Linked DNA regions of Drosophila melanogaster. The protein of the gene in region 2 interacts with the protein of the main gene of each other region in a pairwise test. Each region holds a gene or a part of one and is shown on either strand. Other genes may lie near its edges.

Evidence for each region. The genes of interacting proteins can lie anywhere in the genome.
Region 1: the proteins of maca (region 2) and RnpS1 interact in a two-hybrid assay, tested with the Drosophila melanogaster proteins (one large-scale study listed by BioGRID).

What each region holds. Positions count from the first base shown.
Region 1 is NT_033777.3:9,548,266-9,556,396, reverse strand, and holds RnpS1 (RNA-binding protein S1), read right to left. Parts: upstream 4,364-8,131; 5' UTR 4,215-4,363; coding exon 4,213-4,214; intron 4,137-4,212; coding exon 3,975-4,136; intron 3,707-3,974; coding exon 2,746-3,706; 3' UTR 2,650-2,745; downstream 1-2,649. Other genes in the region: BckdhA (branched chain keto acid dehydrogenase E1 subunit alpha), read right to left, coding at 1-393, 454-522; CG9386 (uncharacterized protein), read left to right, coding at 1,008-1,272, 1,334-2,634.
Region 2 is NT_033777.3:15,490,365-15,497,768, reverse strand, and holds maca (maca), read right to left. Parts: upstream 3,168-7,404; 5' UTR 2,968-3,167; coding exon 2,212-2,967; 3' UTR 2,149-2,211; downstream 1-2,148. Other genes in the region: obe (obelus), read right to left, coding at 4,784-5,248, 5,310-7,404.

The sequences.
Region 1 (8,131 bases), 5.9 Mb from region 2:
ACCCGCTTCACGATACTGCCCGTAGATGAGATCCCGCATCTCCAAGGCGGCGGCACTGCCAATGTGTGAAGCCTCCTCGCCGAAATTGGTCATGTAGAATGAGATTCTGCCCTGTCGCTGGGATTCGTACAGGATTTTGTCCATGGTGTTCAGCAGCACCATATCGCGAAACATTTTCTCCACAACCTCACGGCCCAGCTGGGGATCCTGGGTCTCATCCGCTATATAGCCATCCTGGTCCATCACCCGGTAAATTGGTATTGGCGCATAGTCTTCCGGTTGAATGAGGTTCAATTTGCTGACAAATGGAGCCTTGGCACCGGGGAAATTGGCGTAATCTTCCGATGGCTTTGAGCTGAAGTCCCGCGCAGCTGTCGAGATCGCTCCTTCAATCTGTCATGGGTAAAACCAAACAAATAACAACATACCCCTCTGATCACTCCAAGTACTGACCACTTTCAGGTGTCGTTGGCGCCTCGCCACAGAACCCAATAGGTGCACCGATTTTCGCAGGAATGACATGGTATATAATTTGTGTCTAATCTATTAAATGCAACAGGTAATTTTGAAGATTCAGCTGCGTGTTTCCCAGCTGATTACGCAACACAATACCATATCGATAAGTCTCAATCAATCGATGTTTAAGTGATTGGCTATCGAGATCTCCAAAAAAAATTTCTAATGGATTTTATTAAATTATTATTATTTTCATTTCCATTTTAATTGATTTATCCCGATGTTGAGGCTACATTTTCATATTGAAGGTTATACTACTGTATGTATTTACAATATAGTTTTCTTTATCTGATACATTTTTCTCATTAATAACTTAAAATAAACCCCAAGAATTAATATCCGTTTAATAATAACGATGGCTAACGCAGGATAATATGTTAGCAAGGGTTCGTTTTAAATACGCGCCAAACAAATATCGATAGACGCAGCTACCCATCGTGCGTATACTTAATATTTTCGTTTTCCTTGAGCCACCTTTCGCTTTCGACACCATGGCAGCAGTAGAAGAAGCACAATTCTGGCAAGCGATTGGAATACTGATCAAAAACTATCATGCTTTGAATAAAAAGATATTCGAGGTAGTCATTACCCAAGTGACAAAGCAGCAGAATGGGCGAGTGTGTGAATCCAGTGCGGAGGAGTTGGCGATGTCTCTAAAAGAGGATCCAAGCCAGCGCACGTGCACAGGATTTACGATCGGATTCAAACTGCTGTCCAAGAAACTGGCGGAAAACATCCTAGGCACCGGAATTGTGGGTGAGGATAATCACAATATTACTTACTTCTTAGACAATTCTTATTATATTCCTAATTACAGATTTTGAGAATTGTCTCTATGAGTGCCAATTTGCCAGCGATAGCATTGAAGGCTTTTCCGTGGGCCTCCTTGGAGGAGAGTTTAAACTGAAGTCCAAATCGAACACCAACTGGTTGGAATTTGTGCTCAGACCAAAGCTCTTAAGCTGGTCTCAGTCCAAGCAGGATGAAGCAAAGGTGAAGTCACTAGGTTTGGTTAATGTGGAAAAGTACAATGATCTGTACAAGGAGTTGAAACAGAGGCATTCACAACGCCTGCTGGAACACTGGAAGACCGCACAGGAGTCCACGGATCCGCTCAAGTTCATTTACGAGGATTTGGCTATCGCTGCTTATCTTATAGTTTTGTGGAGTCAAACACAATCGGAGCCCACTGCCTTCGCTGATTTGGGTTGTGGAAACGGTCTGTTAGTTCATGTCCTCAACGCCGAGGGCTACAAAGGGTATGGCTACGATATAAGAAAGCGAAAGCTATGGTCCCTCTATCCACCGGATACCCAAAGGAGCCTCATTGAAAAGGCCGTGGAGCCCAACAGCTTCCGCTTGGATTTTCCGGGTGTGGATTGGTTGATTGGTAACCATTCGGACGAGTTGTCTCCTTGGCTACCGGTTTTGGCTGGTCGTTTGAACATTAACTATTTCCTACTGCCCTGCTGTCCCTTTGAACTGTCGGGAGCCAAGTTTCGCAGGCGGAATACGAAGATAAGTGCCTACCAGGATTTCTTTCAATACGTCACTCAGGTCTCTCATGAATGTGGCTATGAGATCCTACAAGACCGTCTAAAAATACCAAGCACCAAGCGATTGGCTCTGCTGGGAATTAAGAGAAAAGCCTCAAAGGCTATTGAAGATCTGGAGTACTTTGTCCAAGAAGAGCTAAGAAAGTATAAGACCGGAGATGCCAAAATTAAGCTGCGCGAGAAGGAGGAGAGCGTTCGAAATTGCACGCAGGTGGATAAGACCATAATTGATGGTCTAGTGTTTAAGATCTTCAAACTGATTCTGGACTCTAACGAAGATAAATGGTCTGGTCGTCTGCCCATGAGAGAGATTGCCCAGGCTCTCACCAAGGAGGAGCTGAGTGGCATTAAATCCGAGTGCGGCGGCATCAAAACATTGCTGCGCAATAAACACGAAGTTTTCGAATTCTGCGGTGGTGATCTCATAGGAATAAGAACCCCTAAACCAACGGCTACTCTCCCCAAATCCCATTTGACCATCAAGAAACGTAGCTGCTTTTTCAAGCTTCATCATCCGCTGGGATGTCCTCTCGATGATGCTGAGTGCTCGTTTATACACTAAGCTAACTCTCTATGTGTGTGGTATTTGCTCACCTTTATTATTTGGATTATAATATAAAGAAAAGTGCAATAATCGTGTCAATTGTAGAAACTAGGAGTCGATCAGTGTCCTCTAACGAGAGCTGTCACTGCTATTGCTGCGGCGTCGACGACGAATGGGGGAGCGGGAGCGACGCCGTGGTGAACGCCGGTTCCTCATGGGTGACTGACGACGTCCGCCGCCGCCGCCACCACCTCCTCCACGATTGTTGAACCTATTGAACTGGGGTGGGGATCGCCAGCGGTTGTTTTGCGGACGGCGCATCGGTGGCGAAGGACGACGCATGGGCGGCCTCTGTTTTACTAAGACAACCGGGGATACCGTAATCTCCTGGCCATCTATCTGCCCGCCATCCATATGCTTCATGGCCGACTCACAATCCTCGGGTGTGGCATATTCCACAAACGCCACGCCGCGTCCGAAGTTAGGATGAAAACGATCTACGGGAAACTCCACATTCTTCACATCCCCAAAGCTGCTAAATATCTCGAACACATGGTCCTTGGTAACGTTGCGGGTAAGCCGACCGACATGAATGCGCACCTGTTTGGGCGAAGGCGAGCGAGTCCGCGAACGGGAGCGCTCCCTTCGCTTCGGTGGCGGCGTCCTCTCAACGGAGCCGCGACCACGACGGCGTGGCGATCGTGAACGACTGGCTGAGCGAGAACGCTCCCGCTTAACATTATTGCTATCGGCGGCTGCCCTATCGTTGGATCCAGCACGGCGGGCACGATCCCTCGACCGACTACGACGATCGCGATCTCGCTCCGGCTCTTTTCGCGCCTTGCTGCCCGGTCTTGGAGATTTGGAGACACGCCTGGGGGAACGGGTGCGAGAGCGGGAACGTGATCGGGCGCTGGGCTTATCCTTGTCTTTGTCTTTGCCAGCAGCGCCGCCGCCACGTCTTCGGTTCTTCTCGCTGCGATCCGAATCGCTGGACGACGATGATGAGGAGCTCGAGGAGTCGCTGGAGCTGCTTGAGCTGGAACGCGATGACCCGGAACTGCTCCGCGAAGAGCTGCTGTCCGATGTGCTGGAAAAAGTGAAGTGTTTTATTTACTTCTCGTAACCAAGAAAACGGCAATGAAGCTGGTACAAAGTAAAACACTTCCTAACTGTGATGAAATTTTACCATATATGGTATGTGAATTTTTACAAAATCTTTTCGCTCGAAGGCTATTTTCTTCCCGTACTATCTGCTACGTTTTACAGAAGAAGAAGGACTTCCTTTTAAAAGTAACCCTTATTCCGGTTGGCAGATGGCAGCCATTTGTGGGAAAGACCTTTGCCGGCTGATTTACCTGCTTCTGGAGTCGCTGCTGGAGGACGCCGATCCGCGGCGTTTGCGTTCGCGGTCCCTGCGCGAGGAGCCGCTGGTCGCCTTGCCGTCCTTCTCTTTGGCGACCTTCTCCTTGTTGTCCTTTTCCTTCTCACCCTCGCCGGCGAGACTCTGGGCACGCGCCCTGTTTTTTTTTATTTGTCGAGAAAAGCGAGCTGTTTTAGACCATTTAGGGAGCAAAATGTGGTGCAGATACTTACATTTTCGTATTGCCGATTTGTTAAACGATTAGTTTTATAGTACCGCACACTCTTTTAGGTGCAAGCTAAAATGTTTTTATTAATAAATCTTGTTTTTCTCAACTAGAGTTAAATGCGAGTAGCGTTTTCAGTGGAGATTAGTGTGGCCGTGTTTGTGAACGTGTAAATATGACAAAAAAATAGAATACACACTTATTAAAATAAAATCCAGTTCCTTTACTTTGCTATTAAAAAACTGTTTTGCGAATATTAAGAAGCATTTTTAGTTAAATATAAATAAATTTCTTTTATAATATGCTTAAATCTCAAATTCTAGTATACAAATGTTTCTAGAGTATTTGGGATTAAGATAACAGACACCACTTGGTAATTTCTCACAGTCTCGCCGCGGCCACACTCTTTGTCAGGTCGAACCCAAGGTAAACTCCCATAAAGCGTAAAAATTTAAGACCTTTCCTGCCTAGCAATTTGGACTCGATAGGAAGTAATAATGTATACCGTGTAATATGAATAGTGCTTGTTTTCGTAACGTACGAATGTAGTGGAATTACATAAAACGCAATTGATTTAAGGCCAGCACTTTTTTATCTGCTGGTGACGAAGTGGTTGTCATTGTGAGTTCACATCCGTGTGCCTGTATGTGTGTGAACTTGTGTTGATTTTGTCCATGCGAGCAAGCGAGATAGCAAAAGGGGGCCGCGGGGGCTGGCCACAGCCACAGAGTTTCGATTTTCCATCCATATATCTACACTCGCAGCGGAAACGAGAGAGAGAAAGAGAGTGTGAGAGAGAGGAGCGCCCCGTCTGGTCTGGGCACATTTTACCACACTGCGTCTTTGTCTGCCGTCGAGTCGGGAGCTCCGCGTCTGGTGTGTAGTATTATTATTCTTAATATTTCGGATTACTCTGCCTGTAGCTCAATAGCAATATTAAAACCCCGCCCCGAATGCTTTGCGTTGAAAAACATATCTTAGTGTGTGTGTGAGTGCAAAGTGCAGTTATGTTGTGGCAGCAGTCAATGCAAATTAACCAGTGTCTATACCTCAAAGGCACATTTTTTTAGCCCCATCATCGTGTTTTGAAACGCCACAGCGCAGCGTAATTGCCAAAAACCAGCTAGCCAACAAGAGTTTCGTTGGTATACATATCCATATATTCATATAATCAATGTGTGTAAAGAAAACGAAACTAAGAAAAGCGAAAAAGAGCATTCGATGAAGTTGACTGTCATGACTACGCAATAGCAACAACAATAGGAGCTGCCAACAGACACATGTATGCACAGTAGGTGGGTCCTCTCACGTGCTCTCAGTGCCGCTCTCTGCTCTCCCTCTCTCGGTTTCTTTGTGCATCGGTGTGAGTGTGTATGTGTGTTGGGGTCCGGACTCCATGGAAAAAGCGAATATTTTGATGCCTGCTTCCTTGTGTGTATATGCGTATATTTTTTATAATTTATTGTTTTAATTTTGAGAGGGCGTAGTGTGACCCCAACTCGAACACCGACCCTGCCCAAGTATGCATAGAAGAACGCGCACACACATTTGTGGTCAAAATAATAGTTAAATTACGGAAATGTAGTCTATTTACAATGTTGAAGGAGAGCACCGAAGAGGTCGCTCTTTATATACATACATACATACATAAGTATATGTTATCGCTGCATTAAGTCTTATAATCTATGTTTAGAAATGCACTTATCTTATCTTTATAATAATATTTACCACAAATACCCTGATCAAAGAGGGGTTTTATGCCGTGACACAGTCGTTATACGAAGAGGGTGCTTCCAAAATCTTAGTGCTTCCATTTTAAAAGCATCGAAATTTATGTTATGAAAAGAAAAAGAACTTCTTATGCTAAGAATATATCACTATATAATTGCGGAGAATATCTTTGGGGTACAAATTATAGAATTCCATTATATAATATATATAATATTATATAATATATATAATATTTCTACTTAAATGTCTGTTTTAAGCAACACTAACCTTCTTCTTAGAAGAAACTTTACTCCACTTCAACATATTCAAGTAACCATTTCTCAGAGACTACAAACCAAAAATAGTTTACAGCACTATTAGTTTAACTGCAACTGTATATTGAACCACAATTACAACCATTATCGTTATGATAAACAAGCATTTGTATATTGTACTGCCTGCCTATATTTTACGTCTAATTTGCATTACATTGGCATTAATACTCATTGGCCGCAATTAAAACCAGGCTTTATATATATAGATCTATATTTTAATATTATTCCACATATACATACATTTATTGCTAACCAAACTAAACCAACCCAAGTAATTAGTTTCTCAACTGAATGTAATAGCAATGTTTTCTTTTACTTTTATTTTCTTTGTTTTAGCATACATACAATATTTTATTGCTGGTTTTGGTGGTAAATTTGCATTGTTAACGGCCGCGGCCAGACGTGCCCCGCTTCTTTAACACACACGTCTCTCAAACGAATACCGATCATCAAGTGTTTCCCCTATTGACTCTCGTATATAGCAACACGTAAAAACCAATATATAGCGATACTGATACCGAAAGCAACTAAACCGAAAGTGTATACTAAATACATCCCCGTATGTACCACATAAGACTGCCATCTGCCCCTTGCGTTGCCGTGCCGTGCCGTTGACACTTTTGTATCTGGCCATATTCGTATCTGTATCTCAAACTCACTGACCAACTACTGCAAGCGCAAATGCAAATGTAATCTGCAAAATGCAAACTGCACACCTGAATCTCAGCGCAAGTCTTAAACGTTTAATCCTCGAACTGCCTACAATACCAACCAACCTATCAGCCATCCTGAGCCAATCAACCAACCAACCTATCAACGGTCTACCGCAACTGGCAAACCAAACAGCTTTAGTTTGTAAGCTTTAATTATTTTTTTTTTTTTTTTTGTAAACCTGTTAATTATACAAACAATCAAAGACTGAATAATTATTTGTAATTGTCCTCTGTTCTCCTAATGGTTCCCAAATACGGTCGATCTCTAACCCATCAATTTAAGCTATATACTATATACGACAACACGACTTTGTCACACTGTTTGTTTTACTTTGCACATGTTCGTTTTCTATTTTACGCCTAGTATTTACTATATTACCTACCTATAGAGCACACACACACACACACCCACAACACATGGCCCATGTACGTTAAGTGTAACCCTCTTTAACTGTCGCTCTGTTGATCTGGAATCTTTCGATTGTACTAACTGCCCGCCGGGCGATAAGTGATAAGTTTGTAATCAGTCATCCGCCCCTCGACCTCGATCCATACATATCCACCAAACCCGAAGCCGAAAGCAGAATAGAAACCGAAACCCAAAGCGCTACACACAAAAAAAAAAACAGGGCCACTAATATTGTTTTTGTTATGTTGACACATTCATGTAAAACACATAAATATGTATTAGGTCAATTGATAAGTCCTCGTCCTCACACAGAATTTGTTAGCTTTCGGTCCATATCCAAATCCTCAGGTCTCAAAGGAATGCTCGCTGGGAAGAAATTAACGTCGAATGAAGAAGTGATCGCGAAAAGTGACGCCTATTTGAAAGCAAAGGAGAAATCCTACTACATAAATGGTATTGAAAAATTGAAGCGAACTTTGTTGAATGAAAAACTTAAATTTGGCAGAAAAAAAAATGTTTACTGTGGTAGGTCGGGGACTTTTTAATGGACCTGTTATGTATATGTGGGAGGGGCGGCTTAACGATGGGTTATTGTGTTTAACAACTTAAAATGGAAACGCTGAAAGTGTAAAATTTATCGTTACCACATATCATGGCAGACGGAGTCGGCGGAGTTAGTTCACATATACACATACATACATATGTACTACCTATGTACCCGTAACTGTTAACTTTATATCTATATCTATATATATCGTA
Region 2 (7,404 bases):
CTGACTGACAATCCCGTCACGGATTCCGGCAAATTATATGACCCTTCAGAGGTCCACGCAGCTACTTTATCATTTCGGGTGACCAAGGTCATAATGTACTCAGGTGCCACGATCGCCAAGTATGTAAGGATAATGGAGCACCTTATCCATTGGCCAGCTGCTCTACAAGCATCCAATATTCCAGCTTCATTTACTAGAACTCAATAGATTACACATTGCAGGCGAGTGAACCCTGTAATGGCTATCCATTACCGGGGACCTGCAACGGTCAACGTCAAACCCCAGGCCCAAGAAACTCCCTTGGAATTACGCTGATGACTCAATGTGTTCCTTGGGGAGGAGTAAGTCCTTCCCCCCACTGGAAATGATATTCGGAAGCTGGACAACTTTTAATGCCTGCTGTCGATGGTCATGTGCATAGCTCATTAGTTTTTGCCTAATTTGAAAGGCAGCCGTTCCCTTCCTGGCCTAATGGAATTCAATCAATTTCCATTTATTTCGATAGCGAAAGTCGCACCACCGAAGGACCCAATGAGGGCCACAAAAGTGAGGTCCAGAGACGGGAACTGAAAAATTTCTTAATTATCCTGACGTGACGCTTGTGGGCGTCTTGGTTGACAAGCTTTTTAGCCTCCTCCGCTTTTCCTTCCCCTGCCCATTTGTGGCCAGTCTGTTTTCCTAATGCTCGCGGACAAAGAAAGACAAATGAGTCGGAATCACTGCGGGAAAATTGTGGAGTAAAATACTTTAAGACTGGCAAAAATTGCACCGAAAGTCTGCGAATTGAAGGCTTTTCTTAGGATTGGAAATAATTTAAACATAAAACATTTTATAAAAACTTCTGTTGAAAACAATATGCCACAAATGTCAATAAGACAATACAACACGAGGCAAGATGGAAAAAGGAAATCCCCGAAACACTCGCAGCCAGAACGCCAAGTAAAAAAAAGGAATGAAAATGATGAAAAGCGTATAATCTGCTTATCAAGAGGCTGCAGCCCTTTTTCTTGGAGGTCTCCTCCTTTTTTTTCCTAACGCAACTAGGGAAGAACTCAACTGTTCCAAGAAAAATGAAATGAAAACTGTAAACAAAAGGGATGTGAAAATTTGATTTGCATTTCCAACACAAGATGAGACTGGAACTCAATTGTTCTCATTTTTAGGTTTCATTATGCTTTGTTGTTTGGGTATATACACACATTTTTCATAAAATTCTAGTTTTTACAAAGCGAACGATTTTCTCTAAGCTTTAAACAACTGATTTTCTTTAAAATTTTATGTATTAAGCGTGCTTTTATGCAAAATAGGAAGTCCAGGAGGCACATTAATTCAAAAGAGCAACACAACCCATACAACCCTATATAAAAATGTAGTTATTGGCAAAATCCTCCATATTTTATTGCCGAATCCAACCCAGAGTTTATGTAACTTCATTTAAACTGTGACCGTCAAAAGTGCATACCACAGTCGTGCATGAAGGGTCCTTGTAAAGCAAAATCTGTAAGTTAAATCTGAACTGGAACCAGAGACTGAAACAAGAGCAGCAGTCGAAGGGGATACCAGCTGGGTAACCGGAGGAGGAGATACCGATTCCGAGATGCAGGGGCAACTTTGCGCCTCAATTATAATGAGAAAAGCAAACGAATTGGAAATAATTTTCAATTCACTTGTTTCCCACCTACTTTCGTAAGTCGTTTCGGTTCATTCGGTTTGCGATCTTCAAATATTTATGCGCCCTTTGTTTTCATTATTTATTTGAACCGCCAATCCTTTGCATGCATCCCGCAATCGAAATCAAAACCCGAAACCGAAACCGAATCGGACGCTCCGCACCTTTTTTGGCCAACTGGTGGCCCCTGGCTAAATCGAGGTTACCAGGCGACTGATAAAGCTGTTAATGCTTTTTAGGAGCCGAGGATCTCATGTCCGTAGGAGTGGCTTGTTTGCGAACGATAAGCCCAGCTCCTGCGGCAATTTAATGAATTATTTATGTAAGGCCAAAATCAGAGGGCAGCCAAATGCATAACCGAACGAATGCGTTAAGACCAAAATTAATTGGACCGGACTACCTAAAGGAAATTGAGTATACGACAAAAGTGCAAAATCACAATTTGTTCTTCAGCTGAGGTTTAAAAAAAGGTGTTCCTTACAGGTTCTATATATATATTAATCAAATTAATCAGCAAGTTCTATCAAAAATACGCATAATGATTAGTCCGAATCTCGAGAACGCTTAGACACATGATGATCGTTCGTCCTCTCGCGACGCTTGTAGGGTGGTGGGGAAGATTTACGCTTGTCCTTATACTGGGAGCCACTGGAGGTAGAACTCGAGCCTTTTTTCTCGCGCTCCACGAACTTGACCGTCAGGGGCCGGGAGGCGCCTTCGATCATGTACCGATCCATGCCGTACTTGGCCACCTCGGCGTCGCGGACCAACTCAAATTGCAAGAAGGCCACGCCACGGGACCTATTGTTGAACTTGTGGCGCAGCAAGTTCACATCCACGATGTTGCCGTAGGTGGCGAAGAGTTCTCGTACCTTCTTCTCATCCATGTACGTGGGCAGGTTCCCCACGTACAGGCTGGAGCTGGTGCTTTCATATTCCGAAGGTCGGGCGAAGGCCACTTTCAGTCGCTTGCCGCGAGTCTCGTAGCCATCCATGCCATTCACGGCAGCAGCCGCCTGGCGTTCCGACACGTAGTCGACGAATCCGTAGCAACAGCTTATGCCAGTCCTGCGGTGGCGGATGATCTTGGCCTTGCGGATCTCACCGAACTTGGAGAAGAGACGGTGCAGCTCAGACTCCGTCATGTCCTGCGGAAGGTAGTTGAGGATCAGGTTCGTCTTCATCCGCAAATTAGGGAGAGGAGGGGGCGGATCCACTGGTCTTCCAGTTTGGAACATGCCGCGTATCCCGGCGTATCCCCAACATAGCGTCGGGACGGATGACTCCTTCTTGGTCATTTTCTCTGCGCTATAGATAGAAGCAAAGGTGAAAGATGACCGCAGAGATCTTATGCTTTCTTCGGAATGGGATCCAAATGAAACACTTGGCGTAGAAAATTTTAGAATGATTATAATATCCCAAATTGACTGAAAATTCTAAAAATACTGCAAAGCTGCCCTTCCAAATGTTAAAAGTTTTTTTTCAGAATGTGTTTGACAATGACTTCCATGACAAACAGGATAGCTTTGGTCAACAATTACTTGGTTATTTACCAACACTAATACATTTATACTTTTGTCAACTTACGTGGTGTCAAGAGTTGGCTGCCTTGAATTGAACTTAACTTAAATTCTATTTGAATAAATACAATAAAACTTCATCTGCATTAAAGAACTATTTAACACATAAATACGTATGCAAATTAAATAAATTCCGCCTTGCGAAATCGCTGATTTGGCTGAGAAGTTTGCGTGCCAAGACAAAATGAAACCCTTTATGTGCACAAGGTGCAAAAGTTTTTGAAAAGTTTTCCAGCTGTTTATTTATTTGTTTGCTGATTATGGAATTTCGACATTGCGATTCGAAGGTGGAGCACTGCACAGAGGAATGTAAAAAGTGTGCAGGTGAAAATTAAATTGGATACGAGTATTGTGCGATTTGGGGAACCGACATGGCACTCGAGGCCCATCGATTGGATCATTGAATGTTCCTTTGTTTATTGCCAAAGTAAACTTGTTCATTATTTCTTTTTGTTTTACTTAGCCTCATATTAATTAATTTCCATTTCCGTTTCGTTTATCTTGGCTACGCCGATTTTTACCTTCATGCTGACTAGACAATTAATCAAGTTTAATTACTCGACTGCTGTGGGAGGAGGCCAGCTCCTTATCCTAGTCGGCGACTCCCCGGGGACCAGCGGATCCGCATTTGCCCGATGTGGTGGCCATCTGCATTAATCACTTGAATATGCTTTCATTTCTCAGCGCCATGTGTGGGGCAGAAGGGCAGGAGTGCAGAAGCGTCCAGAAATGGTCAGGACTCGGATAAAACCCGCCATTAAAAGACGGCGCACGTAGAAATACATTCGGATGAGGTGGGTCGTTTACATATTTTCACAGCGAAAAACGTTTCTGACTGGAATATTGGGACTATTTAAAAAGCCTATTTCGGTCTTAACAACTAATTATTACTATGCATATAGGCTTAAAGCTGTTTAACCTGTTTTATTTTTTTATTTTATCATTCTTAACTTTCTTAGCTTACTTTGTCATCACCCAACTTAGAATTATATAAATCAATTAATACTAATAAAAGTTTTATTTAATGCTGTCTCTTGGTACGTTTCCTTTTTGACACGCACCATGAACTATTTTCTTCATTATACAAGTGAACGTTAGGTGCCGCCACTGTGCCACGTAGAATAAATGTAGTTAACATGTCGATAGTTATGGATGGCTAAGTGGTATTTATATTGATCACATAAAAAAATTAAATTGAAAAACATAGCTGCGCTTTCAATACAAATTTTATTAACTTTACACAATAAAAATAGTTACTTCATAAATTCATAGAAAGTGATTCATGCATGTAGGTGCTACATGGTTGGCTAACAAAGGAGCTTCGTCTCGAAGCAAGTTACTAATGATAAAAATGTTATACATGTCTTGGAGGATCACACAATAAATACGCAAGTTCAGTTTTACTACGAACTCTAGGTGATAACAGTGATTGTGGAAAACGTTCATAGGCGATATGAACTCCATTAACTAAAAGTTAAGCCTCAACTCTACAGAATGCTACGGTACACTTTAGATTTAATCTCTAGTAGGGCCCTTAGACTTCTTTTGCATCAATGATCTCGAATTGCAGGTCGTACTGCTGGTCAAAGCCCATAAGGCAGTCGGACATTAAATAAAGCGTAAGCTGTAGACGTCCAAGTCGCGGAGTTGCCTGGAACGAAATGCGGTTGGTGCAGCGCTGTCCGCGAATGGATACACGCTTCATGGCGAGGAGCTCGTCGTTGGCCTGGGAGCCCAGGGTCAGGAACCACGCTTCATTCTTGGGCTTTGGATACTTGGGGCAGTGCACCGTGTAGCTTTGTCCACCACCTCTTCGCTGTCCACTGACATTAAGCCGCTGCAAGTTTACTATGAGAACGTAGTCCTCATTGGCATGCAGGGACATCCATTCGCCCCTCGTGTCATCAGAAAGTGAGAGCGGTCGCTTGGCATACTCATTCTCCATATGCCGACCCTCTACGAATATTTGAATTGCTATCTCGGGCAAGTCTTGGATTACCTGGAAATGTTTAAAGTACCATTTGAATATCGTTCAGCAATTTGGTTAATTCGAATCGTACCTTATACATCTTTTCGATCTCGTGCTCCTCGAAGGCATCTCGCAGTGGCTTCGCCAGTACTTCGTACTCTTGTTTGCACAGCTCCTTCAGCACGGGTAGTGTTAAGTAGTCATAGTCATCGTGTGGTATGTTCAAAAAGGCATCGAGATTGTCCTCGTTCACTCCTGGCAACGTTAGGAACTCACTACCGTCGAACCATCGGGCCTGAATGACGCTCTGCATCAGTTGCTGCACAACCAGAGTCGTCGAGAGCCATCCCCGCTCCGCTGTGTAGTCCACCATGGCTTGCATCACTCGAGTGGCGTTGTCCAGAGCCGACTTTGTGTCTGTTAGGTAATCCGAATTCGGAAGGGACTGCCGTGCAAAGTGGGCCTGGAGTAGCAGGAAAGTCTTGGTGTACGAAGAATCCCAAGACGATGAGGGCGGTCTAAAGCGGCTTACTTCAGCCATTTCCTCATTGTGCTTATCCTCGTTGTGCCGAACAGGCAGCTGATCAAATTCATAGGAATCGGCTATGGCGAGGAGAACTTTCTTGGTGTTCATGCCAGGCTGCAAATCCTCCAGGAAATGCTTCATTGTGCGGTACGACAGGTAGTAATAGGAACTGATTCGCCCCAAGAATGTTGGTATCAGACATCCATCGCGCTCCACCAGACAGGCAGCGGCAGAAAGCTCATAGACCACGCGCTCAACCAGATTGGACATAAAGTTATTTACATTCTCCGGTTCTATGTCCTGCAGTTGGTAATACGACGGGTTTCGGAGCAATCTCCTGAAGAAGTACGTCCACGTAAGATAATCCAGAGCGGCCTGCTTTGACTGAACAGTTCCAGCAACGATTTCAGCGTTTATGTGCTCCGGTAGCACTCCCAGCAGACTGGACTCTACCGGGAATGGATCGTACAGAAACTTTTTGTAGAAATTCTTCTTTTCGTCGTGCACCAGAACGACGGCCACACCTTCATTGTCGAACTGCGGCCGTCCGGCTCGTCCCATCATTTGAAGCACGTCGGTAATGGGCATGTCCACGTACTTCTTCACCTTCCCGTCAAAGTATTCGGTACCTTTGATCACCACCAGATGAGCTGGCAAATTAACGCCCCACGCCAGTGTGGCTGTGGCCACCAGGATCTGGATCTTCCTATTGAGGAACAGCTCCTCAACACACTTTCGATCCTGTTCCTGCAAACCGGCGTGATGTAGACCAATTCCGAAAGCTAAGCAGAATTTAAGGTTCTGTTCACGAATATTCTGCAAGATCAGCTCGATTTCGTCTTCGGGTATGTGCAGGAACTGCTTGGGATTGGATTCGCCGGCCACAAAGGTAATCAGGTCCAGCGCCGTGAGACGCGTCTGCCGACGCGAGGACACAAAGACGATGGTGGGCTCACAGGGGGAGTAGGTGCGAATAGCCTGAAACGTGGGCCGGTTCATTGTTGCCATGCGAGGACAGTAGTGCTTTCCAGGGAAGCCATTGATGTGCACCTGGAGAGGCACTGGACGCACCGAGGGCTTGAAGTTGTACAGTCCCATCTTATTGATTCCCAGCCAGTTGGCCAGATCCTGAGCGTTAGCCAGTGCCGTGGACAATCCCACGATTCGGATAGCCCGACCGGTATGGGAACTGATAAAATTGGTTCGCGATACAATCACCTCGATGACCGGTCCTCGATCCTCTCCCAGCAGGTGGATCTCATCGATGACGATTAGCGACACGTGCTGTACGTATTCGCGGGTCTGCCAAGACCGACTGATGCCGTCCCACTTCTCCGGCGTGGTAACGATTAGTTGAGACTCTCGGATGGCCTGAATGTCGGGAGTAACGTCGCCCGTTAGCTCAACAACCTTGAGACCCAGAGAGGAGCGCTGGAAGCGTTGCTCCCAATCCGCTATGCGTTCCTTCACCAACGCTTTAAGTGGAGCTATATACACCACTTTGCACTTGGGATTCTGGTTGAGTGCCCTGAAGATGGCTATCTCCGCCACAATGGTCTTACCACTGCCAGTGGGAGCGCCTAAGAGCACATTGTTGTCGGTGTGGTACAGGCAGTGAAAGATCTGCGTCTGAATGGGATTAAAGTGCGTGAATTTGTAG